Anolis sagrei: one gene and its partner. The main gene of each other region encodes a partner of the protein of the gene in region 2 in a complex. Links are inferred from orthologs where the notes say so. Each region holds a gene or a part of one and is shown on either strand. Other genes may lie near its edges. The genes, in order: BRF2 and BDP1.

Evidence for each region.
Region 1: BDP1 (region 2) and BRF2 share a complex: the UniProt entries of both Homo sapiens proteins name them as parts of the TFIIIB complex. The link is inferred for Anolis sagrei from reciprocal best matches to the Homo sapiens genes BDP1 and BRF2.

The regions. Positions count from the first base shown.
Region 1 is NC_090027.1:11,047,778-11,063,655, forward strand, and holds BRF2 (transcription factor IIIB 50 kDa subunit), read left to right. Parts: upstream 1-7,780; 5' UTR 7,781-7,992; coding exon 7,993-8,146; intron 8,147-9,284; coding exon 9,285-9,344; intron 9,345-10,226; coding exon 10,227-10,548; intron 10,549-12,634; coding exon 12,635-13,361; 3' UTR 13,362-13,504; downstream 13,505-15,878. UniProt on the Homo sapiens protein: General activator of RNA polymerase III transcription. Factor exclusively required for RNA polymerase III transcription of genes with promoter elements upstream of the initiation sites.
Region 2 is NC_090022.1:261,795,619-261,811,732, reverse strand, and holds the start of BDP1 (transcription factor TFIIIB component B'' homolog), read right to left. Parts: upstream 6,611-16,114; 5' UTR 6,434-6,610; coding exon 6,243-6,433; intron 1,456-6,242; coding exon 909-1,455; intron 1-908. Other genes in the region: SERF1B (small EDRK-rich factor 1), read left to right, coding at 14,208-14,214. UniProt on the Homo sapiens protein: General activator of RNA polymerase III transcription. Requires for transcription from all three types of polymerase III promoters. Requires for transcription of genes with internal promoter elements and with promoter elements upstream of the initiation site.

The DNA of each region.
Region 1 (15,878 bases), on a different chromosome or scaffold from region 2:
CATTGGTGGGGTTCAGAATTTTCTTTGATTGCTGGTGAACTATAAATCCCGGCAACTACAACTCCCAAATGTCAAGGTCTATTTCCCCCAAACTCCACCAGTGTTCACCTTTGGGTATATTGGGTATTTGTGCCAAATTTAGTCCAGATCCATCATTGTTTGAGACCACAGTGCTCTCTGGATGTAGGTGAACTACAATTCCAAAACACAAGGTCAATGCCCACCAAAATCTTCCAATTACAATTCACAACAGTAGCAAAATTACAGTTGTAAAATAGCAACAAAGATAATTTTATGGCTGAGGGTCACCACAACATGAGGAACTGGAATAAGGGGTCGCGGCATTAGGAAGGTTGAGAAACACTGCCATAGAGTCATGACTCACAGTACTTTCAAAGATATTAGCTCATCAAAGACTCCGTATTGGAGGCTGGAGAAAATATTCCCTGACATGTTCCTGTCAAAAAGAATGGGTGAAATGTGAAGAGCCCCATTAAGTCAGAAAAAAATGTCCATCTAAACCAGTGTTCCTCAACCTAGGGGTCGGGACCCCGGGAGGGGGGGGTGTCGCGAGGGGGGTCAATTCTATCCTTGGTGAGATTCGGAACCCCTCTTTGATTGTAGGTGAACTATAAATCCCTGCAATAATAACTCTCAAATGTCAAGGTCTATTTCCCCCAAACTCCACCAGTGTTCACATTTGAGCATATTGAGTATCCGTGCCAAGTTTGGTCCAGATCCATCATTGTTTGAGTCCACAGTGCTCTCTGGATGTAGGTGAACTACAACTCCCAAACTCAAGGTCAATGCCCACCAAACCCTTCCAGTACTTCTGTTGGTCATGGGCGTTCTGTGTTCAATTCCAGCTCAGAATGCTCTTTGATTGTAGGTGAATTATAAATCCCAGCAACTACAACTCCCAAATGACAAAATCAATCCCCCCAACCCCACCAATTTTTAAATTTAGGCATATGGGATATTTGTGCCAAATTTGGACCAGTGAATGAAAATACACCTTGCATATCAGATATTTACGTTACAGTTCTTAACAGTTGCAAAATTAAGGGTTATGAAGTAGCAATGAAAATAATTTTATGGTTGGGGGGTCGCCACAACATGAGGAACTATATTAAAGGGCCGTGGCATTAGGAAGGTTGAGAACCACTGTTCTAGGTACATCTACAGCATTCAAAGTGTCTTCACTAAGTAGATATAAAGGGGAGCTGCAGGGAAATGTAGTGGGAATTGTCCGTGTTTACTCTTCCATTCACCATCCCATTATCCTCTTATTGTTATTAATCCCTCATGCACAACCTGGGGATCACAACCAGACACAGTGAATGAAATTACTTACACAGATATAAAATTACTTACCACAAGTAATGTCCCGACCTACAAGAAGCACTGCCTGAATATCAAGCAAAAAGTGGGCACTAGAAATAATATCATACGAAAGCTGACTAGCACAACCTGGGGATCACAACCAGACACAGTGAAGACATCTGCCCTTGCGCTATGCTACTCTGCTGCTGAGTATGCATGCCTAGTGTGGAACACATCTCACCACGCTAAAACAGTGGATGTTGCTCTTTATGAGACATGCTGCATTATCACGGGGTGTCTGTGCCCAACACCACTGGAGAAATTACACTGTATAGCCGGTATCACACCACCTAACATCCGCCGGGAAGTAGCAGCCAATCGTGAAAGGACCAAGGCAGTGACATCTCCAACCCATCCCTTGTTTGGGTATCAGCCAGCACGACTTAAATCAAGAAATAGTTTTCTAAGATCTACAGAGACACTCACTGGAACACCCCAGCAAGCGAGAGTCCAAAAGTGGCAGGCTCAAACCCAGAACCTGATACCAAATGAGAGACTCCCCCCTGGGCACAGAGAAAACTGGACAACTTGGAAGGCGCTGAACAGACTGCACTCTGGCACCACGAGATGCAGAGCCAACCTTAAGAAATGGGGCCACAAAGTGGAATCCACGACATGCGAGTGTGGAGAAGAGCAAACTACAGACCACCTGCTGCAATGCAACCTGAGCCCTGCCACATGCACAAGGGAGGACCTTCTTGCGGCAACACCAGAGGCACTCCAAGTGGCCAGATACTGGTCAAAGGACATTTAATCAACTACCAAGCTTGCAAATTCTGTGTTTTGTCTGTTTGTTTGCATTGTTAAAAATGTCAACCTGCATTATAAGCCTGCTGTGTATGCTGCACCCTCTTTACCCCACCCCTTTTTTCCCCATCAAGATTATGGTATTTATAGCTCTGCAAATACCAAAGCTTGGCTGACACATGCAGGCATTGTAATGATATCATGCTCCATTTCCATCAGAAGGCAAAAATAGTGTAATGATAAACGCTAGGAGATGAGAGCCATTCACTAACACCGTCCCACCCCCAGTGGAATGAATCCGGTGAATTGTAGGATAAAAGCCACAGCTGAAAGAATTGGACCAGAAGCTTCCTAAAGGCTTGGTCTAGAATAAACACAACAAGCAAAATTAACAGCAAGTTGGTGGAGGGAAGAATAATAGAATCAAAGAGTTGGAAGAGACCTCATGGGCCATCCAGTCCAACCCCCTGCCAAGAAGCAGGGATATTGCATTCAAATCACCCCTGACAGATAGCCATCCAGCCTCTGTTTAAAAGCTTCCAAAGAAGGAGCCTCCACCACACTCCGGGGCAGAGAGTTCCACTGCTGAACAGCTCTCACAGTCAGGAAGTTCTTCCTAATGTTCAGATGGAATCTGAACATTAGTAAAGGTAAGAGGTCCAAATCCTCACTGAAATAAACTTGATTGACACATAATAATAATAATAATAATCATCATCATCATCATCATCATAGAATCAAAGAGTTGGAGGAGACCTCGTGGGCCATCCAGTCCAACCCCCTGCCAAGAAGCAGGGATATTGCATTCAAATCACCCCTGACAGATAGCCATCCAGCCTCTGTTTAAAAGCTTCCAAAGAAGGAGCAGAGAGTTCCACTGCTGAACGGCTCTCAGTCAGGAAGTTCTTCCTAATGTTCAGATGGAATCTCCTTTCTTGTAGTTTGAAGCCATTGTTCTGCGTCCTAGTCTCCAGGACAGCAGTAAACAAGCTTGCCCCCCCCCCCTCCCTGTGGCTTCCTCTCACATATGTGTGAAAAAAATATATAGTAACATCCCCTCATCCAAATTGTACCTGGAATCAAGAAAGTGTCCTGCAAGCTTAATTAGAGTCATCCGGCATGGTGCAAAATAAATACATCTCCTATGGCAACAAAGGGACAAAGAAGCAATAGCTGTTTTCCTTTCCAAAAACATAAAAGCCAGATGTTGCTTGCATCTTTCTCTATCGCTGCTTGGAACACTCTTGTAAAACAGAAAGAAAATAGGAAAACATTGTAAACATATTAGCAAAGCTGGAGGAACATAGCGTACCCTTAGACTCCCATCTCCAGCGCCTGTCCTTTGATCTTTCTGTGAATATACCATCGTTGTTACTGGCAATTTTTCTTCATTTTCAAAGTCATAAGGAATAGGAGCTTATTTTGAAACGGGAAAGAAAAACACACCTATTCTTGATGTCCTATTCTCTATTCAGCTCCCAAATTCAGACTTATCAAGATCCATTGTATTACTATTATGGTATATACATTTTCAGCATTATGAGGATATGAAATAGTTGTTGTTGATGATGATAATGATAATAATAATAATAATAAACTTTATTTCTATTCCGTCCTCCTCCCCGAGAGGACTCAGAGCGGATTACAGCATTTACATACATTCAATGCCTTTACAATCATATACAGTGAGACACATAAAGAAAGGTAAAGGCTTCTCCTTTCATTTCCGGCTTCTGGAGACGGTGGTCATCTCTGGCTCTGTGGAGGTGCTTTCTCCATTTTCAAGCCAATTGTCACCTCCTGGTTGTGTGGCCAGCAAGATTGCTTGGAGAGTCTCTTTGCCTTTTTCCGCCGAAGCAGTACCTATTTATCTACTCACATTTACATGTTTTTGTACTGCTAGGTTGGCTGGAGCTGGAGCTGACAGATGGGAACTCACCCCATCTTACGGATTCGAACTGCTGACCTTCAGTTCAGCAGCACAAGGATTTAACCCATTGTGCCGCCCCAAAGGGCTTGGAAATATTTATCCTTACCCTTGTCCTCATTGGTTATATTGAGTAGAATATATGCAGTCAGCACATAAAAAGCAAGCTTCCTTACTTGCCCACAGTCAACATCATGATCATAGAATCATAGAATCAAAGAGTTGGAAGAGACCTCATGGGCCATCCAGTCCAACCCCCTGCCAAGAAGCAGGAATATTGCATTCAAATCACCCCTGACAAATGGCCATCCAGCCTCTGCTTAAAAGCTTCCAAAGAAGGAGCCTCCACCACACTCCGGGGCAGAGAGTTCCACTGCTGAACGGCTCTCACAGTCAGGAAGTTCTTCCTCATGTTCAGATGGAATCTCCTCTCTTGTAGTTTGAAGCCATTGTTCCGCGTCCTAGTCTCCAAGGAAGCAGAAAACAAGCTTCACTCTTATTTTGAGAGACTGTGAGAGTAACTTGCCTAATGCTGAGCAAAGAGCTTTCCAGACATTTCAAGTTGGTGACACTTTTTGAGACACGTATCATTTTGGGACACTGTAATGATGCTGACTCCAAGGATCTCCCAATGCACTGCAACATAAATCAGGTTTAAGCCAATTAATACATTTGTCCAGTGTACAGGTTTATATAAATCAGGCATGGGGAAAGTTCAGCTCTCCAGGTGTTTTGCACTTCAACTCCCACAATTCCTAACATCCCCAGGCCCCTTCCTTTTCCTCCTCAGCCGCTAAAGCCATATAGTTTATAGTACTTGACTGTACTTCATACTAGACTACGAAATTCTTCACTTTTATTGTGACGCCACCTATGTGTAGAACTGCTAGTTGCAAGATTTAAACTGTTGTATCATGCTTAATCCTGCCTTTTACCCTGCTTGAATTGATTGGTTATTTATAGCTGTCAATCAATGTTGTTTGCACCAGTTGAATTGCTTTCTCAAGCTCAATTGTTTGGCTCCACTTCTTCCTGGAGGAGGGGAGTGCTTCCCTTTTTTCATTCTGCCATCAGAATTTCTATCAGATGGACGTGAGTAAGAGACTTGGTTCTAAAAGCCTCTGCTTAAATTACCTTTCAGCACCAATTCTAAGGTTTTTTACCCTTGGGACTCATGCTTTATGTCCAGATCGTCCTGGACAACATTGAGGAGACCAAAGCGCCTTCAAACCGGTTCTTTTGGCACCAGAGGAAGGTCTTGTCCCTTCAACTTAGGCCATTGGACTGGGGTTGTGTTTATTCCGATATTCACAGCCATTGAGAAAAGAGGAAACAGGAAAAGCTTCTCAGCTGCAAACTCCTTGGACTTTATAGATTGTAAAGTATATTTCCTTTATCCCTGTTGAAACATCAAGCTTATGCCTGAGAAAGATAACTCACTGTGAACAATAAATACCATTTTGAGTTATCTGTTGTGTTTTGGTCTTTGGGAGTTCCAGTTTCCTAAAGGAGGGCAAGAAGCAATCCCCTGGGGAAAGATGTCACGTCCATGCCTCTTCCACTAAGAGCTATAGCCCCCAGGGGCAACGGCACATTTATATATAAAGAGACATGATAACCATGCATAATATATGAAATGATGTCACAAGGAAGAGGGAGCAGGCTTGTTTTCTGCTACCCTGGAAACTATGAACCATGGGTTCAAATGACAGGGAAGGAGATTCCGCCTGAACATTAGGAAGAACTTCCTGACTTTAAGAAGAGATGTTCAACAGTGGAACTCTCTGCCTTGGAGTCTGGAAGCTCCTTCCTTGGAAGCTTTCAAACAGAAGCTGGATGGTAATCTGTCAGGTTGCTTTGATTGTGTTTTTCCTGAATAGCAGGGGGTTGGACTAAATGGCCCATTTGGTCTCTTCCAACTCTGTTATTCTGTGTGGGCTGCTGTGAGTTTTCCAGGCTGTATGGCTGTGTCCCAGAAGCATGCTTTCCTGACATTTCACCTGCATCTATGGCAGGCAGCCTCAGAGATGGAGAAGTCTGTTGGAAGCTAAGCAAGTGAGGTTTATATATCTGTGGATTGTTCAGGGTGGGAGAAAAAACTCTTCTCAGTTGGAGGCAAGTGTGAATGTTGCAACTGGCCCCCTGATTAGTATTGAATGGCCTTGCAGCTTCAAAGACTGGCTGTGGAAGGTCCAGGGTGGGAGAAAGAACTCTTATCCGTTGGAGGCAAGTGTGAATGTTGCAATCAGCTACCTTGATTAGCAATGAATGGCCTTGCAGCTTCAAAGCCTGGCTGCTTCTATTATTCTAACTTACTTAGGTGATCCTCATAGTCCGAGGATGATGGTCCTCCAAGTGATGTGTCTTGGCGGTGGATACGTAAGCGACTCTGGAGCCCTATTCCTGACCTGCATGTTCTCCCATAGCGAGGGCACTGCTTTCCAGGTGGAAAGAGGTCATCAAGCCAACCCCAACCGGGACCGCCTTGCACCTGGAAACCGATGTCCTCAGTGCAGGAGAAGATGCAGGTCAAGAATAGGGTGCCATAGTCACCTACGTACCCACCGCCAGTACACTACACTTGGAGGACCATCATTCTCATACTACGAGGAATCGCCTAAGTAAGTATGCTAATAATATAATATATTGCATGTATGTATATTTTGTAAGTCGCTCTAAGTTCCCTTCGGGGTGAGAAGGGTGGCATATAAATTTCACAAACCAACAAACAAACAAATAACATGAGGAAAACTTCCTGACTGTGAGACCTGTTCAGCAGTGGAACTCTCTGCCCCGGAGTGCGGTGGAGGCTCCTTCTTTGGAGGCTTTTAAACAGAGGCTGGATGGCCATCTGTCAGGGGTGATTTGAATGCAATATTCCTGCTTCTTGGCAGGGGGTTGGACTGGATGGCCCATGAGGTCTCTTCCAACTCGAGGATTCTATGATTCTATAAGTCAGTGTTTCTCAACCTTCCTAATGCCATGACCCCCTTAATACGCTTCCTCATGTTATGGTGACCCCCAACCATAAAATTAGTTTCGTTGCTACTTCATAACTCATTTTGCTGCTGTTATGAATGGTAACATATTGGGGAAGGATATTGATTTTGTCCTGGGAGAGTTATAATTGCTGGGATTTATAGTTCACCTACAATCAAAGAGCATTCTGAACTCCACCAACAATGGAACTGAATCAAACTTGGCACACAGAATTCCCATGACCAACAGAAAATACTGGAAGGTTTGGTGGGCACTGACCTTGAGTTTTGGGAGTTGTAGTTTACCTACATCCAGAGAGAACTGTAGACTCAAACAATGATGGATCTGGACCAAACTTGGCACGAATTCTCAGTATATCCAAATGTAAACACCAGTGAAGTTTGGGGGAAATAGACCTTGACATTTGGGAGTTGTAGGTGCTGGGATTTATAGTTCACCTACAATCAAAGAGCATTCGAACCCTACCAAGGATTGAATTGGGCCAAACTTCCCACACAGAACCTCCATGACCAACAGAAAATACTGTGTTTTCTCGTGGTCTTTGGCGACCCCTCTGATACCCCCTCGTGACCCCTCCAGGGGTCTCGACCCCCAGGTTGAGAAACATTGCTAAAAGTAAACAGGTCCAATCCGGAACCTTTGTCCGCTCTTTGTTTCCCTACCGGAAGCATTTTCTAGTCGTTCGCTCCTCAGCTTAGTGAGTGCCCGGTTGTCATGGCGCTTGCTTTTAAAAAGTGGGTCCGACGTGGAAACAGTTCCCCCGCGCGACGACTTCCGGTCTCAGAAGGAAAACAACGGGGCTGCGTAGGAGACGTTGGAAGGTGATTCTTTGAGGCTGGCAGGGAAAGTCCGTCCGCGGCCCTGCTCTGGGGCAGGTTGGGAAAGGCTTGTGCTGTTTCCTGGCTGTTCCCTGCCTCCTTTTCCAGGCTGCAAAGATGGCGGGCCCCAAAAAGTGCCCAGACTGCGGCTCCCTGGACATCGTGGAGGACTCCCACTACGCCCAGAACCAGCTGGTGTGCGCAGACTGTGGCTTCGTTCTCACCGAAGGGCTCCTCACCACCACCTTCGCCGAGGAGCAGCACCTCCAAGGTGAGGCAGGCCGAGAGTGGCCACAACGTTGTGGTTTCCCCTGCCACGCGTTGCTCTGGCCCAATCTATGTATATGTGTTTTGTGTGTGTGTATATGTGTGTGTTTGCATATATATATATATATATATATATATATATATAGTTTTGCACATGCATTGTAATGTATTTTGGATTTTTAAATCGCTTCTGCGGTGTTTTTCAGTGTTTGTATGAATGATGGTCACTCATTGGCCTGATCTTGTATCCAAATTTGGTGTCAATTCGTTCAGTGGTTTTCGAGTTATGTTAGTCCCACAAACAAACACCCCTTTTTTCATTTATATAGATGCTAGCCGTCCCCTGCCACGCGTTGCTGTGGCCCACATGGGGGTTCTGTGTGGGAGGTTTAGCCCAATTCTATCATTGGTGTGGTTCAGAATTCTATCATTGGTGTGGTTCAGAATGCTCTGTGATTGTAGGTGAACTATAAATCCCAGCAACTACAACTTCCAAATGTCAAGATTCTATTTTCCCCAAACTCCACCAGTGTTCACATTTGGGCATATGGAGGATTCGTGTAGAGTTTGGCCCAGATCCATCATTGTTTGAGTCCACAGTGATCTCTAGATGTAGGCGAACTACAACTCCAAAACCAAAGGGCACTGCCCACCAAACCCTTCCAGTATTTTCTGTTGGTCTCTCTTCACTCTGACCCAGAGTGGCAGAAAGTTGTGTGATCAGAATTGAACTGAACAGCAGCTGTGGCAGCATGAGCTGAGGTTTATACTGAAGCCTTTTTGTGCCCAGAATACGAGGGAAAGGAGAAAACTCCACATATCATAGAATTATAGTTGGAAGACTCCATGGACCATCCCAGTCCAACCCCATTCTGCCAAGAAGCAGGAAAATCACATTCAAAGCACCCCCAACAGGTGGCCATCTGGGTGATTTCAATACTCAGTTTTTGAAAGGAAGAAGAAAGAAAAACAAAATAGTAGTTTGAGAAATGAATTTCACACCATTGAGTCTCTGCATCTGACATTTGGGGGATATCCAAACTATGGATGGTTAGGTTGATACCATGGTTCCAATTTGCTCTGAATAAGTATATCTACACTATATCTGTGTATCTGATGTGGTAATTTTTCTTTCTTTTCAGAAGTGACATACTCACGCAGTACTGGTGAGAGCGAGCAGTTGGGCCATTGTCTGCAGAGAGGCAAGTATTTTGCATCTTCCATCAGTACCTTTTGGTGTATTCCAAAAATGAATGTCAGCGCCAGTATGGTGTAGTGGCAGGAGTTTTAAACTTGGACTCTTGGAAACCAGGGTTCAAATCCCTACTCAGCCAGGGAGACCCACATTTGGAGAAAGGGGGGGGGGCAACGGAAGAAAAACCTTATTAGATTACCTTAATGCATTAGCAAGAGAGCCATTGTGGTGTCAGAGTAGCACAATACAGTAATTTGAATGTTGAACCAAAACTCCAGATTAGGTTTCAACTCTCTGCTCAGCCATGGACAAGTCATACTGTTTCAGTCTCAGAAGAAGACACTGACAAATCTCTTCTGATAAGAACATCCTGTATTTGATGTTATCATAAGTGAGTTGATTTGAAGGTACATAGTAAGTAGTAGGTCCTTTTTAACTTGTGGAATTGTGCAATATAATAATTTTATTCAGCCAGCACCTTAAACACTCTGACATGGACACCACCTCAGCCCTGTTGACATGTAAATGCCTTTTTACTTTTAATGTTTTGATTGGTTTCTATTATTAGATCTAGTAGTAAACATGTTCTAAATGTTTGATTTATATATTTAATTTTCTAAGTTTGTTATTTTTGAGTTGTTCTATAAGTACACTTGATGTTGTTTATTTTATATTATATGATTTAATTTGTTTTTTATGTTATGCCGGCATTGAATATTTGCCAATTTTAATCCACCCTGAGTCCCCTCAGGGAGATAGGATGGCATAGAAATAATGTTGTGTATTATTATTGTTGTTGTTATTATTATTATTATTATATCCTTGGAAAACTCTGAGCAGCATGTGAAAAATAAATGCAAATGTGTATTATACGGTGTCTCCCTTACAGGAATCAAACGTGTCCGGGATCTCTGCAAAGTTCTCCATCTTCCTTCTCTGTTTGAAGAAACAGCAGTGAGTTATTACCAACAGGCCATCAAGCGTCCCTGCTTCAGATTGGTCAGCTTGGAGAAGAAGGAGATGATTGTGGGCTGCTGTGTCTTTGTCACCTGCCGGCAACACAACTGGCCCCTGACTATGGGCACAGTCTGCTTGCTACTCTATGCTGATAAAGAATTGTTTGCTGGGGTATACTTGCAGTTTTTGAAGGAAATGTCATTGGATGTTCCTTCTCTGAGCTTGATAGATTTAGTGAAGACACACCTCAACAGGTACGTTATTATCCCTCTTCCCTTTTCCTGATATATGTCTCAAAGTTGGGAATGTTTTTTTGAAATGAACACGTAGTGTGCATTGCTTCCATCATGGAAGAAAGACTCTCTCTGTGTGTGTAATAATATAATAATAATAAAACTTTATTTATACCCCACCACCATCTCCCCAAGAGGACTCAGGGTGGCTTACATGAGGCCAAGCCCACCAACACATCAATAAACAACAAAGCAGCAAGCAAATAAAACAGTACAATTAATATAACTTACATATAAAAAATAACACAGAGAATTTAAAACCTTATGGCCAGGCCAGATGTGTTAAATTAATTTTTTTTAAATAAACACTGGGTGTGAACAGAGGTAGGATGTATCTGAGCAGGAGAGTTTTAAAAGATAATGTAGGGAGAGCAACCCAATGGGTAGTAAAGTGCAGAGAATTAATCAGAGCAGGGCATTGTTTCCTTATTCAGGGAAGGCACACTGGAACAGCCACGTTTTCAGGCTCCTCCTAAAGACTGCCAATGTGGGGGCTTGTCTGATATCCTTGGGGAGTGAGATCCAGAGTCGGGGGGCCACCACAGAGAAGGCCCTCTCTCTCGTCCCCACCAATCGCACCTGCGAAGGGAGTGAGAGCAGGGCCTCTCCACCCAAGAGATCGCATAGGTTCGTACACAGAAATGCGGTCACGCAGTAGGTGGGTCCCAAACCATTCAGGGCTTTGTAGGTAAGAACCTGCACCTTGAATTGGGACCGGAAAATGAACAGCAGCCAATGGAGCTCCTTAAACAGGGGGGTTGACCGCTCCCTGTAAGTCATTCCAGTTAATAACCTGCCTGCTGCCCATTGTATATACATATATACTTTTTTGTAAAGACTGGTGGCTATCTGTTTGATTGCATTTGACAGGGGCATTGGGCCTTCTAACATGGTAGAGAAGGTACAGTTTGAATTCTAAATTATGTGGGAAACTCTTGGATAGATATTTCATCTGCTTTAAAACAATAGAGATGTTAGCTGCTTCAAATACAAAAAGCTCTTGGAAAATCCGACATTGTGATCTAGAAGTTTGAAGGTTGGACACAATGGTTGAGCTTGGGCCCATCACTTTTTCAGGCTATCCTTCCACACCAGGTACTTATTGAGATCAAGTGGAGAGGAGTTGTGTATGGCATTTTATTTATTATGTTAGGATTCTGGGCAAGTGCAATGTGCAGAGAGTCTTAAGCTCTAATAAAGTGCTTCTGGGACGTAGTGCTGGAGGTTATACTATTCAGGAAAGGCACATCGGAATAGCCAGGTCTTCAAGTTCTTCCTAAAGACTGCAACATAGGTGCTAGTCTAATGTCTTTGGGGAGGGTGTTCCAAAGTCGGGGGCAACCACAGAGAAGGCCCTGTCCCTCGTCCCCACCAAACGTGCCTGTGACGCAGGTGGAATCGTGAGCAGGGCCTCTCCGGATGAACGGAGGGAGCGCGTGGCTTTGTATACGGAGATGTGGTCACGCAGGCAGGCAGGTCCCAAACCGTTTAGGGCTTTGTAGGTAAGCACCTGCACCTTGAATTGGGCTCGGTGGGTAAACGGCAGCCAATGGAGCTCCTTAAACAGGAGGGTTGACCTCTCTCTGTAAGGGGCGCCAGTTAACATCCTGGCCACCGCCCGTTGAACCAGTTGGAATTTCCGAGCCGTTTTCAAGGGCAGCCCCACGTAGAGCACATTACAGTAATCCAACCTAGAGGTGACTAAGGCATGGACCACCCTGACCAGATCAGCCTAGACTGCTGATTGACCATAGTAACTGATAGGGTGGCCGTAGCCAGTTATACTCGGCTGTTCTCAGAGAATGGCAATCCCCTCTGAACAAATCTGGCCATGAAATGCCCATTATGTGACTGCTGAAAGTCAGGAATGAAGGCACACAACATCGTTATGTCAAGTGCTTTCCTCTGCTACCCATGTACCAGCTTGCCTTTGCATACTACAAACATGGCCATATTTGCTCAATCACTTTTGCTCTCAGCACCTCCCATCATATGTCTAGACAGAGTAATCCTTGTAAATAGCATGCTTGCTTTCCTTCCTTTCCAGTTTCAAGCTTTTTCAGCAGTCATCAGGCATCCCACCCAAATTTGTTGAAGACAAAGAGCAGCTGGTGGAGAGGACTATTCAGATGGTGGAGCTTGCCAGTGAAACATGGCTGGTGACTGGCCGGCATCCCATCCCCATTGTGATGGCAGCAGCCTTCCTGGCATGGCAGTCTCTGCGACCCGTTGATCGCCTCAGTTGCACTCTTTCTAAGTTCTGCAAACTTGCAGGCACAGATGCGCCCCGGCCAGCTCACCAGAGGCTGAAGGAGCTGCATAACATCCTTCTCCAGATGGCTTCTCATTTGGCCTGGCTGCGAGTGCTCAAGGTGGATCAGAGGACTGTGGCAAAGTATGTTGGTGACCTGCTGCAGCATCGCCGTGTGCTTTTGCAGTCTGCCTTTTCCAGAATGGATAGCACTGATGGCTGTAATATAGAGGGCTCAGAACCAGGGACACCACAGCAGCTTATAAAAGAAAGTTCTGTAATGACAGAAGAGATTTCCCTTCCAGGAGAGGGGCAGAAAGGGGGCAATAAGCGGGCACCTTTGCTCCCACCTTGCATGCTGAATCCCAAGAAGAAGTTGAGGACTCCCGATCTGCGCCCTGAAGACTATGCTATCACCGGGGATGAGGCCATTTCGGATAGCGAGATAGAACAATACATCCGAACGTCAGAAGAAAAGGAGGCATTTAGGGAGGCTCAGGGATCCTTAAATAGACACAAATGATTCTGGGAATGTACAACCAGCAGTCGGCGTTGGTTCATCCTAGAGCTATTTCCTTTTATTTTAGGGGCTCTTGCACCCACATCAAAAAGGGTATGTATGAAACAAAAGAACTTCATATCCCAGTTAATAAAGCCTTTCTTTTGGCCCCCAGCTTTTCTTCTTCGTCCTCTATAATATAATTGTGAAGAAAGGCTGGAGATAAACACAAGTCTTCCTGACTTGTTCGTTACATTTCACATGTAGATATTATTGGTTCTGAATGAAATTAGTTGAAACTCGGAGAATTGTTCTTCTTTTTTGTGATGTTTATTATTTATTTACGACATTTATATTTTGCCCTTCTCACCCCGAAGGGGATTCAGAGCAGCTTACAAGGTATAGATACATAGGTAAAGGTAGTCCCCTGACACTAAGTCCAGTCATGTCTGACTCTGGGGTATGGTGCTCATCTCCATTTCTAAGTCGAAGAGCCAGCGTTGTCCGTAGACACCTCCAAGGTCATGTGGCCAGCATGACTGCATGGAGCGCCGTTACCTTCCCACCGGAGTGGTACCTATTGATCTACTCACATTTGCATGTTTTCGAACTGCTAGGTTGGCAGAAGCTAGGGCTGACAGCGGAAGCTCACGCCGCTCCCCGGAATCGAACCTGCGACCTATCGATCAACAAGCTCAGCAGCTCAGTGCTTTAACCCACTGCGCCACTGGGGACTCCTTATATATACATACAATATATTATATTATTAGCATAGTGCAATATAAGTATTAAATATTACTATATTGTACTATACCATTATTTTGTTGTTCATTCATTCAGTCGTCTCCGACTCTTCGTGACCTCATGGACCAGCCCACGCCAGAGCTCCCTGTCGGCCGTCACCACCCCCAGCTCCTTCAAGGTCAGTCCAGTCATTTCAAGGATGCCATCCATCCATCTTGCCCTTGGTCAGCCCCTCTTCCTTTTACTTCCCAGCATAATTGTCTTCTCTAGGCTTTGCTCTCTCCTCATGATGTGGCCAAAGTACTTCAACTACTATACCATTATATTGTAATATTATTAATAATATTACATGTAATATAAATATATAATTATAATATATTAGTAGTAGTATATTGCCTTACATTATAATATTATAAATATTACATGTATATACATTATATTATATTAATACATTGTAATATATTATAGATTCAGGTTGAATATACCTTATTCAAAATGCTGAGATAAGTATTTTGTATATTTTTAAGATTTTGGACTAACTGTTGCAGCATATATATGATGTTCCTATTCTTTCCACATTGCATTCTGCATTCTCTGTGATGCCCAGGAACACTTTACTACATTAACTGAGATATTATTGTACTAGCTGTGCCTGCCATGCGTTGCTGTGGCCAACCTTCCTCTCTCTCTCTCTCTCTCTCTCTCTCTCTCTCTCTTTTTCTCTCTCTCCTTCCTTCTTTCCTTCCCTCTCCCTTTCCTTCCCTTTTTCTTTCCTACTCTCCTTCCTTCCTTCTCTCCTATTCTTCCCCTTTCTCCCCTTTTTTTCCTTTTCCCCCTTTTCACCCTTTTTTCTGCCTGTTCTTGGACTGCAACTCCCAGCAGTCCTCCTGATCTGTCTATCTACCTACCTACCTATTTATCTCCATCTAATCTATCTATCTGGAGGATTGCTGGGAGTTGCAATCCAGGAATAGGAAATTGGAAATATGCAGGGATTGGGATGCTCTCAAAAGAAATCTAAAGAGAAGAAAGCTTGTATCTTGGAAGCAGTGCATTTGGATCATCCTCCTCCTCTCCTAAAGGGCCTGGTCTATGGGATGCTGAGAGCGGTAGTCCAAAAAGAGAGTGTGGGTATGCTATTATTATTATTATTTACAGCTTTTATATTCCGCCCTTCTCACCCCGCTGGGGACTCAGGGCGGATTCCAGTGTACATATATATGGGAAACATTCAATGCCAATTTTGACATACAACATATACAGACATAGACAGAGGCTATTTAACTTTTTCTGGCCGCCAGGGGAGTTGTCACTTTCATCATCCATCTGCGACACTGATGAAGTAATTCCGCATTCCCCGCATGCTTTTTGCTGGAATGCTTTCTGGAGTCTTTTTTTATGGCCTCATAAATTAGTTAATTTAGCCTCCCCAAACTTTAAGGTGGTACCTAATTTTCCTACTTGACAGATGCAACTGTCTTTCGGGTTGCAAAGGTCGACAACAGGCTACACAATTGGTTGGGAACCCACTCCAACCCGGGCTGGCTTCAAACTCATGACCTTTGGTCAGAGTGATCTTACGTGTTTTGTTTGCCAGAGGGAGTCGTTTTTGCACATGCACTGTAGTGGCTTTTTGCTTTTTTTGGCTTTTTAAGCCTCTTCCACTATGTTTTTCGGTGTTTTTATGAGTGATGTTCACTCATTGGCCTGATAGGTGTCTTGTGTCCAAATTTTGTGTCAATTCATCCAGTGGCTTTTGAGTTATGTTAATCCCACAAATGAACATTACATTTTTTA
Region 2 (16,114 bases):
TAAAAAAGGTATATGGAAACAAAGCGATTTTGATGCTGTATGGGGAAGATTTGTGGTAAATGGATTAAAAAATAAGGAAGGAAAATTACCGTCACAAGAAGAAATGAAATTTTGGACAGATGAAATGTAAGAATGGTGGCTTGAGACGGGTGGAGGGGAGCACTGTGGTGAAAAAGGGGGGAAAAAAAAGAGAAAAGGGGTGGAAATGTCAGAGCAAAACAACAAAATAACATGTTAAAGAGGTTGATGTACAAAATGTAATAGTATGTAATAAATGTGATAAAACAATAAAAAATTATTTAAAAAAATAAATCAAACAATCATAGATACATTTAAAAATCAGTACCATAAATGAGCAGAGTCTGAAGTACTTCCACATATAAATCAAACCTTGATTATCCGAAGTTAGCTTCACTTCAGCAATAAGTTGAGGGAATAGCATATTTTGTCTCTCCTGTTGTTAAATTAGGAATACAAAATATTTGCCAATCCACTACAGATAACTGAAACATTTATCTGTGGTCACTTTTAGATTCAGATATACATACTGGTGGATATTTGATGTAAAAACGTTAAAGCTGTAGACTGACACAGCATTTGATGCTGCCAAATTTTTACCTTTATAAACTAAAAGCCTTCAGCAAAGTAGATTCTGTAATGCACCATTATATTACCATAAAAAGAAGCTATACCCTCTTACAGATCCACCATACCTCATTACAATAAAAAAGATACAATCCCTGCCATTTCCAGGTAAGATGTGGAAAATCTCCTGTCCGAAATCCTAATGAACTTTTTAAAGACAATATGACCTAAATGGGCCAAGGATCTAACTTAAGTCTGGCCATAAGCTCTTTCTGTTCCCTCCCACATTGTCCTTATAGCACTGTCACAAAAATATTATATACCTTTTCTTTCTTCAACTCTTCCTTGAGCATCTTTCGCAGCGTCTGACTTTTTATTATTTTCTCACGTTCTGAACACCTATTTTTATCTTTTTCTGGACCAGATTTTGAATGGACAGTTTCATCTTGAATTAATTTTTCCTGTGTGGGTCTCTCCTTGAGAGGCGAGAGTGCACTCTTCTGAAGTGCTTCATCACTTCTTTGGACAGATGGACAAGTATTTGGTTCTTTACTGGAAGATTTTTTTAAAGGAGAGAACTGTGGTACTTGAGGAACAGGTGTTTTCTTTTCAGGCAAAGTTGGAGACTTTGGTGAAATTTCCACATTAACCCTTTCAGAAGTCTCCTTATGAAGCACAGAGCTACCAAGAGTAGAAGAATGAGGTAATTGTTTTGTAGAATGTTTTGATGCCAGATTGACAGAACCTTGAGTAGATGTGGATGTAACTCTTGGTTTAGCAAGATTGGGCACAGTTGAAAATCGTTTTCTTCTCTGGAGAAGGGCCTCTGCACGTTTACTACAATCTCCATCTTGATTGGTTTTTTCATCTCTGCAAAATTCAAAAAGAATGACATCTGTTATGAGTATTTTTAAGAAAATTGTATAGCTGTTTTAAAAAGAAATGAATGAACTTATGAACTGAATCATGCAATATTAGATCTGCCTTTTAAAAAAAACATAACAATTTATCCAACAAATAAACTAACATTTTCCATTTGACTGAATATAGGACAATATCCGTTTCAGATGCTTACGTCCATACAGTTCACTGTTAACAATCTACCAATTAGTTATTGACTATATTGAATATACTGCTACAATACCCTTGGGAACAAAACATAATAAATACCAGCATATTCACTAAATTCGTATTTAGATCTTCTATGAAATGATTAGCAGGCAGGAAAAAAACTACGTTACTATGATGTGGTGATGCAACAGAAAAAACAAATCAAACTGGTGACTTCAGTAAAGGAACTGAATAATTAATAACTTTTTCACTGACTATACTTATCTGGAATTATTACATCAACTATGTATGAGATGGAAAAAGCAGAAGACAACAAGGGAAGCTACAAACAAATCAGACAAGATCCCGAATTGTCAAGATATATTATTAAAGTTAGGGTTGTCCACACCATCAGAGTTCCAATTTATATGTATGGTTGTAGAAACTGGAAAGTGAAGAAAGCTGATAGGAAGAAAATCAACTCATTTGAAATGTGATTCTGGAGAAGAGTTCCATGGATACTGTGGATTGCTAAAAATACTAAAAATGCTAAAAAAGATACGGTACCATGGACTACCAAAAAGACGAATAAATTAGTCCTAGAGCAAATAAAGCCTCAACACTCCCCAGAAGTCAAGATGACTGTTATACACTGAAAATATCATGAGAATATATGACTGACTAGAAAAGACAATCATGATTGGTAAGGTAGAAAGCGAGTCAGTGTGGTATAGTGGTTTGTGTCAGGCTAAAATATTAGAGACCGGGGTTTAAATCCTTGTTCAGCCATGAAAACCCAGTGATGACCTAGGCCAAGTCACCTTCTCTCAGTTGAAGGAAAAACATCTCTGAACGAATCTCATCTAGAAAAAGTCCATGATAGGGTCAATTTAGGAACACCATTAATCTGAAATGCCTTGAAACCATATTATAATGATAACATTAGAAGGAAAGGGAGAAGACCACATTACAGATGGATTTACCCAATCATGGCACCCACAGATCTAAATCTGTAAGAGCAGAGCAGGGCTATCTGAGATAGGATGATCTAGATATTTCTCATTAATAAGGATGTAATTAGTTGAAATTAGCTTGATAGCAATTAACAGCAACAATATAATATTGCGGACAAGGCGATTCAGTGTGTATGCACTTTCAGTGGCTGAAAAAACTGCAATCTGAAAATGGAAATCTAATAATCCAGATCTTGGCAAAATGTGACCCTACTGCATGTGTCAACACTACAAAGCATGCTAAATTATTTCAGTTAGCAGACGTACCTTTGTACGCAGTTTATGGTCAAATGCTTGCAATATATTCATACAACTAAACAGCACAGCACACGTTTATGACGTGTGTACTTTTAACACTATGTACAACTAGGACACAATAACCAAGGCATCATGATAGTTATCTTCAAATACATGAAAGGCTGTCACATGAAAGAAGCAACAAACGTCTTTTTTGCTGCATAGGAGAACATGACCCAAATGAATAAGCTGAAACGACAGTATAAGAAGGGAGACCAGCTAAGCATTAAGAGGACTCTCCTGATGGTTACAATCATCCAATAGCTGGCTGAAGACTATGTCAGCAGTTGCTCAACTGTCCTTCATTATAGGTTTTGTTTTAACAGAGATTAGACAGACACCTCTCAGCAATATTTTATTATGACTTTCTGCACCTGGAGGTTTTGGACTAGGTGATCCCTGGCATACCTTCCAACCCTCTATTTCTATGAGATATAATCTAGCATTCAAGGTTTTTGTATAACTGTGGTGGCATCAATAGTAGGTAAGTTTTGCCTTTTGTCTCATCTTATTCTACTATGTTGTAGAATGAATGCATCTTGACACCACTTTCGCTAGCATGGCTCCATGCCATGGAATCTTGGGAGGTGTAGTTTTACAAGGTCTTTAGCCTTCCCTGCCAAAGAGTGGAGGTGCCTCACCAAATGGCAATTCCCACAATTACATAGCATTCACTGATCCATTTCAATTAAAGTGTCAAACTGCATTGTTTCTATAGTGTCGATACACCCATAGACACACCCAGCAGGGCAATCATAAGGGTGGTTCAGCTATATAGGTAAAATCTGATGTATAACTGGATTATACCCATACCATCATCAGATCTAAGAGACCCACTAACAGTGTTTTCTTTCTTATTCTTTCTCCTTCTCATCACATCTAACCAAAGGAAGCACACTATTTCCATAAACATACAGGACAAAGCAAGATATTCAAAGCACAACTAAAGCTGAATATAACAATGTCAATTGTTTCATCTCCATCATCAACAACCAGAATCACTAGATCTTCAACCTTAACTATGAATATGGTTCAAAGCCATGCTGGTTAAATTGGGGACTGCAGAAAGTTAAAAAAAAAACAACAGCAAAAGGTATATAGTTGCTACTCACACACAAATACATCACTACTAACTAGATACACAAACCATTCCCTTCCAGGGAATAAGGAACTCCCACTCTCAATGCTTCTTTCACACATGCAGGGCTCCCACTACAGGGGATGCAGGTATGAATCATTCCCACAAGTTCAAATATAAATCCCAAACTTTTGTGCTCTGGGATTTTTCTGAAAGAACTAAACTTAAAATCATCAATGGCTTTGCGGGAAGACGAAATAGAAGTGCAAAAGAGTAGCTTTGTTCAAAGGTGAAACTTACCTATATAGCTGAACCACCCTTATGACTGCCCTGCTGGGTGTGTCTATGGGTGTATCGACACTATAGAAACAATGCAGTTTGACACTTTAACTGAAATGGACCAGTGAATGGATCAGCTATGTAATTGTGGGAGTTGTCATTTGGTGAGGCACCTCTACTCTTTGGCAAGGAAGGCTAAAGACCTTGAAAAACTACACCTCCCAAGATTCCATGGCATGGAGCCATGGTAGCAAACATGGTGTCAAGATGCATTCTTTCTACAATATGGTAGAATAAGATGAGACAAAGGGTAGTTACACCCAAAGGCAAAACTTATCTACTATTGATGCTACCACACTTATGACATCCCTGCCGGATGTCTCCCTAATGATTCTGTGGGAAGAAGGCTGAGGGTGCATCTACACCAGACCCGGGAAAACTTGGGCCCTCCAGGTGTTTTGGATTTCAATTCTCAATTGTGGGAGTTGAAGTCCAAAACATCTGGAGGGCCCAAGTTTGTCTGTGCCTGTGTTAAGCTGATGCTTCTCATGGACGTCTCTTTTTATTCAAAGTATCAAGCACATGGCAAGTCCCCGAGTCCTCCCGTTTTTGTTCTTTTCCTGTGAGCATGGAGAGAGACAAGATGTATCCACAGAGTTTGACAGCTGGGCTCTTAACTTTCCTATAGAGAAATGTTGTTACTTCAATAAAGTATTTTGTAACTTTTAAAGCTTGACCATGTTCCTGTATTGCTGAAGCTCATTCACTCTACTGCTCTGCACAAGAAGCTTCTGATCTGCTAAACTGCTGTTGCTGATTTACCATTTTTAATGCCTTTTCCTTTTGGAAATTACCCTGTGATATGTGGAGGAGTGGAAGAGTAGGGCCATGGTGGCACAACAGGTTAAAGTGCTGAGCTACTAAACTTGCCGACCGGAAGGTTGGTGGTTCGAATCTACGGGACGGAGTGAGCTCCTGCTGTTAGCCCCAACTTCTGCCAACCTAGCAGTTTGAAAAAATACAAATATGAGTAGATCAATAGGTACCGCCTCGGGGGGGGGGGGGGGGGGAGTAATGGCACTCCAGGCAGTCACGCCAGCCGAATGACCTAAGTGTCTACGGACAACGCCGACTCTTCGGCTTAGAAATGGAGATTAGAACCACCACACAGAGCCCAAGATGAGCACCACTCCTCAGAGCTGGAAGGGAAAGCCTTTACCTTTATATGTGTTTCGTTGTTTCTAGGCATTTGTGTGTGTGTGTCAGGCACGACTTGAGAAACTGACATTCGCTTCTGGTGTGAGAGAATTGGCCGTCTACAAGGATGTTGCCCAGGGGATGCCTGGATGTTTGGTGTTTTTTACCAGCCCTGTGGGAGGCTTCTCTCATGCCCCTGCATGCGGAGCTGGAGATGACAGACGGAGCTCAACCCACTCCCACTGGATTCAAACCACTGACCTGTCAGTCAGCAGTCCTGGGTTTAACCCACTGCGCCATTGGGGGCTCCTAGGCATTGAGTGTTTGCCTTTGTGTTTGTCTATGCTGGAATACGCCCTGAGTCCCTTCGGGGTGATAGGGTGGAATACAAAGAAGGTATTATTATTATATTATTGTATTATTACCAGAAAACATACTCTAAAACTGTGCTAAACTAACCCTCAAAGTGCTCTCAAAGTAATTGCCTACTGGCTCTGTACTTATTTCCTGCCTATAAGGCAGGCATGGGCAAACTTGGGCCCTCCAGGTGTTTTGGACTCCAACTCCCACAATTCCTAACAGCCTCAGGCCCCTTCCTTTCCCCCCTTAAGCGGCTGAGGGGGGAAAGGAAAGGGCCTGAGGCTGTTAGGAATTGTGGGAGTTGGAGTCCAAAACACCTGGAGGGCCCAAGTTTGCCCAATCCTGATCCAAAGGCAATATTTGCGGTGGTCATCTCCACTTGCCTGCTTCCACCTTTGTTCCCTCCCTGCTGGGCGCCTCCGGAAGTGTCTCCTGCGGCGGCTGTGGGGCCCTGTTCCCCGCCTGGCTCGGGGCCCACAGTTAGGGCAGGAACTGGGCCCCTGCCGCCTCTCCCTGTCGCCGCGGTGCTAGGCCTGACGTTGGGCTTCACGCTGAAGCGGGCCCGGCGGAACATGGCTCCTCACTGAGGCCTCTGGCTAAAGCCCGCCGTCGCCTTTCTCCTCCGGCCGGCGAGGCCTCCGCCTCATGTCCCCGGCCCGAGCCCTTCCTGCCTTCCTGCTTGCCTGCCGGGGCCTCGGAGGGCTGAGGGAAGGAGGCCTGTCAGCTGCCAGCCCGGAATGTCGCACCGCCTGCGTCATCAGCCTGCGACAGAATAGCCCTCCCTCTCCAGGAGAGCCCCTTGGAATGCAGGGAGTGCCTGGTGCTCTTCCAGGCAGGGGCAAACTTCGGCCCTCCAGGTGTTTTGGGCTTCAAGGGAAATCCTGGGAGCTGTAGTTTAGTGCCCCTTGCACACAGCTGAATAAAATCCCATATTTTCTGCTTTGAACTGGAATATATGGCCGTGCGACCTCAGATAACCCAGGGCCCTTCCACACAGCCATATGAACCAGAATATCAAGACAGAACATCCCACAATATCAGCTTTGAACTGGGCTATCTGAGTCCACACCGCCATATATTCCATTTCAAGGCAGATATTGTGGGATGTTCTGTTCTGATCCAGGGAAGTCATGCTACCCCTCTATTCTGCCTTGGTTAGACCACTCCTGGAATATTGTGTCCAATTCTGGGCACCACAATTGAAGAGAGATATTGATAAGCTGGAATGTGTCCAGAGGAGGCTGACTAAAATGATCAAGGGTCTGGAGAACAAGCCCTATGAGGAGTGGCTTAAAGAGCTGGGCATGTTTAGCCTGAAGAAGAGAAGGCTGAGAGGAGACATGATAGCCGTGTATAAATGTGTGAGAGGAAGTCATAGGGAGGAGGGAGCAAGCTTGTTTTCTGCTGCCCTGGAGACTAGGATGCAGAACAATGGCTACAAGAAAGGAGATTCCATCTGAACATTAGGAAAAACTTCCTCACTGTGAGAGCCGTTCAGCAATGGAACTCTCTGAGTGTGGTGGAGGCTCCTTCTTTGGAAGTTTTTAAACAGAGGCTGGATGGCCATCTGTCAGGGGTGTTTTGAATGCAATTTTCCTGCTTCTTGGCAGGGGGTTGGACTGGGTGGCCCATGAGGGCTCTTCCAACTCTGTGATTCTATGATATAGCTGTGTAGAAGGGTCCTGGGTTATCTGAGTCCACACAGCCATATATTCTAATTCAAAGCAGAAAATATGGGATTTTATATTCTGGGTTATATGGTTGTGTAGAAAGTCCCTTAGTCTTCAGTTTTCTCTGCCACATAAAGTTGTTGCCTCACCCATCTACACCTCTCAGAATTCCATAGCATTTGCTCTAGCATTCCATAGCCTTGCTAGTTAAAGTAGTATCAAACTGCATTCATTCTGCAGTGTAGATGCAGCCATTGGGATAATGGATTTAGAATGGCTTGTTTGTTTCTGTTTCTGTTGTTTTTGTAAGTTTTTTGGGCTGTGTGACCATGTTTCATAAGCATTCTCTCCTGACGTTTTGCCTGCATCTATGGCAGGCATCCTCGGAAGTTGTGAGGTGACCTACTATAGATGCAGGTGAAAGGTCAGGAGATAATGCTTCTGGAACACGTCCATACAGCCCAAAAAACTTAAAACAACCCAGTGATTCTGGCTATGAAAGCCTTCAACAATACATTATTATTATTATTATTATTATTATTATTCAAGAAAACAACATTTCAAATATAGTAACCAACAAAAAAACATATGCAAGGGAAATATATTTAAAATATCAGAAATCTACCTCATCCCTGTTGGTCGCTGTAAATTACCCTATATTCTTAATGCCTTTTAATCATCAGATTTTATCAAGTGTGTGTGAAGTGTCACATTATGTATATTTTAGTTTTTAATTTGGTTATTTTAGGGGATATTATAAATTTATGTTAATATTCTTTTTATTTATTGTTTTTGATCTGATTTGCTCTTTGTTTTTTGGCATTGAATGTTTGCCACCTTTGCTGGAAACCTCCCTTAGTCCCCTGAGGGAGATAGGGCAAGTTACAAGTAAAGTTATTGTTATTATTGTTATTATTATTGTTATTATTATTATTATTATTACAGTATCTGCATTGAGAAAGTACAGGGTTAGTCAAAATGCATAGGCCAATAAGCCATTCAATTGAATGGCTTATTGGCCTATGCATTTTGACTAACCCTGTACATCGTAGTACAGAGTTTTCTTAATGTATTAATAAGGTCAACAAGTAAAGTCAACAAAGATACAATCATTATATATAATAGCATAAAATAATGATAGATATAATAGTAAAATGCACCTAATTTAGTTTAAAACTTTCCCCATCTAAAGTATACTGCACTTAAAAATCTAATACAATTTTCCTAATAACTTGAATATGTTTAGCTCCCCTGCCCCCCATTCCTTTCCCTTTTCTTTGTGCCACCTTCACCAGGACAAATTTATCTTATTTTTTATCTCCGGAATTTCATTGTTTCTGTTGCAGGTTTGTCTCCTTGTCCTTCTATAAATACAAATTCTATAAACTTCTCCCAGATATTCCAAAAGTCTTGTTTGTTTCCACATTCCCTTTTTAACTTTAATGTCATAAGTCAGTCTGTTGTTAATTGCTATGTTCCAAACATTATTCCAATTGAATTTCATTTTTATCTTTCTATTTTGTTGTAATCATTAGTCTCGCTACCATGAATAGGTTGGAAATTAATTCCTTCATTTCTTGTAAGAATATAATATCATACAATGATAATAATGCTATTTCTGGTGTACCCTTTTCTCTATTTTTATTATTATTCTTATTTCCTTAAATACTATTTTCCAATTAGGTTCTTGTGGGTTTTTTCGGGCTATAGAGCCATGTTCTAGAGGCATTTCTCCTGACGTTTCGCCTGCATCTATGGCAAGCATCCTCAGAGGTAGAGGTCTATTTTCCAATTTTTTGTATAAATTGACATGTCCACCACATATGGATGTATGAGCCTAATACTTGATATCCTCTCCAGCATTGATTTGAATGTTTCTCCTCTGCCTTGTTTCAATAGGAATTGTGGAATGTGTTGCCTTTGAAATTAGAATTGTGACTTTAAAAAATGTTTTTATTTTAAGTTTTAGTAGTTACATCTTAATATTTTTAATTGTTTTTCAAAGGATGTATTCCACCTTGGTGACTTTTGCAAAAAGGTTGCATAATAACAATATCTAAAATTATTAACCCCTTCCTATCCTAAATAATGAGCCCTATTATCAGTCACCAAAACATGATTGCTGTTGTAATATTGTGACAGATATAACATTACATGTTTAACTGGTTTATCTGGTGGTAGGATGCTTATCTTATCAAGCAGCTCCCAGAATAGCATAACCAGTGTACTTATTAAACTCCAACCTCCAGAATTCATCCATACACATGTCTTGTACCTATCTGTGCTGGTGGAGGACTCTGGGAGTTATAGTACCAAGCAACTGAAATTTTCTGAGCTCTGAATATTCTCCCTCTCAGTTACATGTCTTCATTTAATTTTCCTTAGAACTCCCTATTGACAGTTCCACACTCACCTTTGTGTATTGTACAAAGCTAGAATTTGTGGCTTACTCCTAGTTTCTTATTTGTGAAAAAAATTGAAACACAGCTCAGTCATTCAACCGTTAGGACATAAGATGAACCCCCACACCACAAATTATGCTTTCAGCAACCCCATATTATATGTTGCCTTGATTCAGGGAGAGAGGATACAGTTTGAAGGGGAAAACAATTGTTTGTGCTCAATATATTCTTCTCTGAAAATGGGCATTAATGTGTGTTGGTCTGATTTGGCAATCACAAATAAGGAACTAGGCTTATTATCCCCAAACAAACTGTGAGCCATGTGTTCCCAAATGATACACCTTACATCCAAAGATAACATTTTCTATCATGCAAATCAAACCTTTCTGTATATGCAGGGCGCATATATATATATCCCAATCCAAAGCAGTAATACCAGGTTAGATAACAATGAATGAAGAACTGAGGATATACACTCCCAAAGTAAGTTATGTGCCCCCCTAAATTATAACCCTATTCAGAAGCAAATCTTTTAATATATGTGTAAAACTACTATGCATGCCAGCCTAGTGAAATAATACCTGCATTAGGTTAAAAATAATAAGAGATTCATACTTTGCATTGAATTAATGCAGTTTGACACCACTTTAACTGCCCAGTTTGATGCTATCGTCTTGTGGGAGTTGTAGTTTGGTGAAGCACCAGCGGTCTTTGGCATAAAAGGCTAAAGACCTTGTTAAACTATAACTTCGAATAAGTTATAGTTAAACAAGGTCTTTAGCCTTTTATGCCAACACTGAGCTACTGTAACACTGAGCTACTGCAGTTAAAGTCGTGTCAAACCATTAATTCTACAGTGTAGATGCACCCTTAGTTTCTCCCTCCTCCTACATTCCTATTCTTCTTACCTACTCACTCATCCATCTTCCTCCTTTTTCACCTAGCCAATTTAATTATACAATTAAAATTGTACAAAATGGTTGCAAAGAAGAGAGGACTTGTTAGACATCTGATCATTAAAACTACAAATGCGACAGATTACCGCTGGGATTCTTGGCTCCTATATGCAAAGCCTGCATTCTTCCACTGACCTTCTCAGCCCACACATCTTGACTGGGACAATGGTAGTGAAAAATTATTCATCTGTGCTGGGAAATATTTTCAGAGACAATTTCTGAATATGACTTTCTGAAAAGTCATCTACAAAAATCTCCAATGTTGATTCACTAGACAATTTTGTAGCTATACGCTTTTTGCTGTACATACAGTGAATCGATGCCCTGTAACTGAAATAAATCACACTGTATTAACCTCTGACAAACAAGTCACATTAAGAAATGAGGTGTTCACTTAATGAGAGTAAAAAGCAAAAAAGAAGTGTCATTAAGTGATAATTGGAATTAAAGAGGTTGTAAAATGAGATCCCATGGCTTTGGACAACTTGAATGCATTATGTAACTATACACCAGGCATGGGCAAACTTTGGCCCTCCAGGTGTTTTGGACTTCAACTCCCACATTCAGGTTGGGGCCCTAAATTCCCACCATTCCCAGACAATAATACTGTTACGGTCCTTGTAGTCCACGTGGGGAAAATTTCCAGAGTTAAAGACAACTTTAAAAAGACAAAAAAGGTCTTTGAAGAAGCATCATAAGGAACTAGAATGAATGCAATCCCCAAATGACAGCCTCCAGGCCTTCTCTGTAAATTGGACAAGGCCCAACATTAATTCTTTAACTGACAAATTAGGTAACAATAATTTACCAAATGAAAACAATTAAAACGTTAGTGTTTGTACTACTGAATTAACTTTTCCATTAACAAATGAATGGTCAACCCTCACCCTACATGTAAATAAAGCTTTGGATGGAATAAAATGAGGTTGCTTCTAGTTCCTAGATAATCCCTGCTTGGCTTTAAGGCTGGATTCGTTCGGAGTAGCTCACAGATTACACTGGTTCCTTATTATTTTTTCCTACTTAATTGCTGTTGTTGGCTTGACACATCTGGCAGTTTTCTCCAAGTACATCAAGCTTTCATCCGCATGTGGGTTGATGGCACCTCATAGAAGATTCTCTCCTGGATATAAATTTGTATGATTTGAGGTAGCCCATGGATAATTTTAGGGTGCACTTCTTCAATACATATATGTAACTGAAAGAATTAAGAATGTTATTTGTTAAGTACAACTTGGTTGCATCTAAATTGTGGAACAGTTTGACATGACGTTTAGCTGTTGTGCCCACCCACAACGATACATTGAAGAGTAGAGACATCACACTAGCAATGAAGATCCGCATAGTTAAAGCAATGGTATTCCCCATAGTCACCTACGGATGTGAGAGCTGGACGATAGGGAAGGCTAAGCAAAGGAAGATAGATGCGTTTAAACTGTGGTGCTGGAGGAAAGTCCTGAGAGTGCCTTGGACAGCGAGATGATCCAACCAGTCCATGCTTCAGGAAATAAAGCCCGACTGCTCATTGGAGGGAAGGATAGTAGAGGCCAAGAAGAAGTACTTTGGCCACATCATGAGAAGAAAGAAAAGCTTAGAGAAGACAATGATGCTGGAGAAAATGGAAGGAAAAAGGAAGAGGGGCTGACCAAGTGCAAGATGGATGGATGGGATCCTTGAAGTGACTGGCTTGACCTTGAAGGAGCTGGGGGTGGTGACGGCCGACAAGGAGTTCTGGTGTCTGCTGGTCCATAAGATCACGAAGTATCGGAAGCAACTGAACAAATGAACAACAACAACATATTAGACACATAAGGTTTTCATATGATGTAACATTCGTTACCATAAAAAAAAAAGAACACAAAGCCAAAGACTTATCAGCAGGCCCTTCGTATTTGTTTAGTTCAACTGCATAATGCGTTTTCAAGCTTTCAAGGCTCAGACTATTACATATTTGCTTTCCATGTTTATTTTTGGCCAAGCCTTTATTTATTTATCGCAAGAACCATGTTTGTTTAAATGCTAAGATTTCCGAAATAATTCCACCATGTTTGCGGAAAGTCCATAAGGAGCTTAATCCGAGGGCCCCCGTGGTGTAGTGGATTAAAGCACTGAGCTGCTGAACTTGTTGACCGAAAGGTGACAGGTTTGAATCCGGGGAGCGGCATGAGCTCCCACTGTTAGCCCCAGCTTCTGCCAACCTAGCAGTTCGAAAACATGCAAATGTGAGTAGATCAATAGGTACCGCTGCGATGGGAAGGTAACGGCGCTCCATGCAGTTATCCTGGCCACATGACTTTGGAGGTGTCTATGGACAATGCCGGCTCTTCGGCTTAGAAATGAGGATGAGCACCACACCCCAGAGTCAGACACGGCTGGACTTAATGTCAGGGGAAAACCTTTACCTTTACCTATCTACACTAAGAGCGCCCAGTGGCGCAGTGGGTTAAACCCCTGTGCTAGCAGGACTGAAGACCGACAGGTCACAGGTTCGAATCCGGGGAGAGGCAGATGAGCTCCCTCTATTAGCTCCAGCTCCTTATGCGGGGACATAAGAGAAGCCTCCCACAAGGATGATAAAACATCAAAATCATCTGGGCGTCCCCTGGGCAACGTCCTTGCAGACGGCCAATTCTCTTACACCAGAAGCGACTTGCAGTTTCTCAGGTCGCTCCTGACACGATTAAAAAAAACCTATCTACACTGTAGAATTAATGCCTCGGAAAGTGGGAGTTTGAGGAAGAGGCCGCGGATACAATGGCTGCCCTTTCTGTGGGTGTATCTACACCAGGCCTGGGCAAACTGGGCCCTCCAGGTGCTTTGGACTTCAACTCCCACAATTCCTAACAGCCTCAGGTCCCTTCCTTGGATATTTGTAACATGGGTTTGTTGAGCCACCAACACTATTTGGCAGAGAAGGCTTAAGACCCTCCAGCACTTGAGATGCCTTGGCAGTTAAAAAGTGCTGTCAAAATGTATCAATTTTGCAGCGTAGACTAGAGGCTTTGTTTCCTCTGCTCTGTGTTGCCACATAGACAGTCAGATATAGACACGCTGAAAGGGGAGGAGGGAAGGGCGAAAGGAAAACAGAGCAAGTGCGCACGCGCAGAACAGAACCCCGACCAAATACAGCCTGTCAAGAAAAGCGTGGCTCTGGGCAAAAAAAGTGACGTCGTGTGCGGGGTGACGTCACAAAGGCGGACCCTTATATAAAGGCGGCGCGCGGCGGGCGGGGCACGCAGAAGATTCTGGCAGTTGGAGCGGTTAGTGGGAAGTCGGAGCTCTCGCGTGACGGTTGTCGTCGCTGGGGTTATTGTTTTGCCATGGCCCGTAAGTAGAGGCCTTTCCCCTCTTTCTCCCTCTCCCGCTACGTCAGCGCTCGCGAGGGTTTTGTCAGTATCCTTTCGGCTCTGGACTCCTCCTTTAGCAATGGTGGTGGTAGTAGTCGAGGCCTAGTGCCTGGCGGTGGCTCTTGGCCAGAGGGAGGCGCCGCTGGGCCGGACTCTCGCCTCGGAAAGTGGGAGTTTGAGGGAGAGGCCGCGGATACAATGGCAGCCCTTTCTGTGGGTGTATCTGCACCAGGCCTGGGCAAACTGGGCCCTCCAGGTGCTTTGGACTTCCAACTCCCACCATTCCTAACAGTCTCAGTCCCTTGCTTTTCCCCTTCAGCCGCTTATGTGGGCAAACTGGGCCCTCTAGGTGTTTTGGACTTCAACTCCCATTCCTAACAGCCTCAGGTCCCATCCTTTTCCCCTTCAGGCCTGTTGTAAACACTAAAATAGAATTAAACCCAGGACTCTTAAAAATCAATAGTTTAAAGGCTTTAAAAATCTATTTTATTTATTTATTTATTTATTTACCTTACTTATTTAAAATACATAAAACACCACCTCACTTGATTTTTAAAATATAAAGGCTTGCAGAATTGATTTTGTTAATTTCAGTCAAAGCGGTGCCAAACGTCATTAGTTATACAGTGTGGATTCCCTACTATTATTATTTGAAACACAAGATGAGTCCACAGCAGGCACTCTGCTGGCTGTTGAATTGGATCCCACGTAGGACACTTCCCAGGTGTCTAGGAATGTGTGATGTATCGGCGAATAATGTGTGCAGATCCCAGTAAGGTGGCCTTCTGCAGCTGGCAGCTGGTAATTTTGTCAGCGCTGATTGTGTTTAAGTGCAGGCCAGGGTCTTTAGGCATTGCACCCAGTGTACCAATCACCACTGGACCACCTTTACTGGTTTAAAAGGCTTTAAAAATCTATTTAAAATCCATAAAGCACACGTCACTTGATTTTTTAAACATCATTCTTTAAAAGGCTTCCTGAATTGATTTTGTTAATTTCAGTCAAAGTGGTGCCAAACATCATTAGTTATACAGTGTGGATTCCCTATTATTATTTGAAACACCAGATGAGTCCACAGCAGGCACTCTGCTGGCTGTCGAATTGGATCACACGTCGACACATCCCAAGTGTCTAGGACTGTGTGATGTATCCGCGAATAATGCATACAGATCCCAGTAAGGTGGCCTTCTACGGCTGGCAGCTGGTAATTTTGTCAGCGCTGATTGTGTTTAAGTGCAGGCCAAGGTCTTTAGACACTGCACCCAGTGTACCAATCACCACTGGGATTGTCTTTGCCGGTTTAAAAGGCTTTAAAAATCTATTTAAAATCCATAAAGCACACGTCACTTGCTTTTTAAAACATCATTCTTTAAAAGGCTTCCTGAATTGATTTTGTTAATTCCAGTCAAAGCGGTGCCAAACTTCATTAGTTATATGGTGTTGATGCCCTATTATTATTTCCAGTATTTCTACCCCGTCTCTTCTCAATCCCCGAGGGGGGACTCAGGACAGCTTACAATATTCACCGATACAATGCCGATACATGACAATCATCATAATACAATCGCAATTGAACATAAGTCATAATTAAATCAGTACATAAGCAAAAATTAAAACAGTAAAAATAGTCTCATTAGCTGTGTCGCCATTCCAGCCAATGTCCATCTAAAGTGCTACTTACTTCTGCTGACCAAAAGCCTGGTCCCAAAAGCACAATTTTAATTTCTTCCTAAAAGCCAGGAGGGAAGAAGCTGATCTTATTTCATTTGGGAGTGTGTTCCATAGGCGGGGGGCCACAGCCGAGAAGGCCCTGTCTCTCGTCCCCGCCAGACGCATTTGTGATATTGACGGGAGCGATAGCAGGGCCTGGATGATCTTAG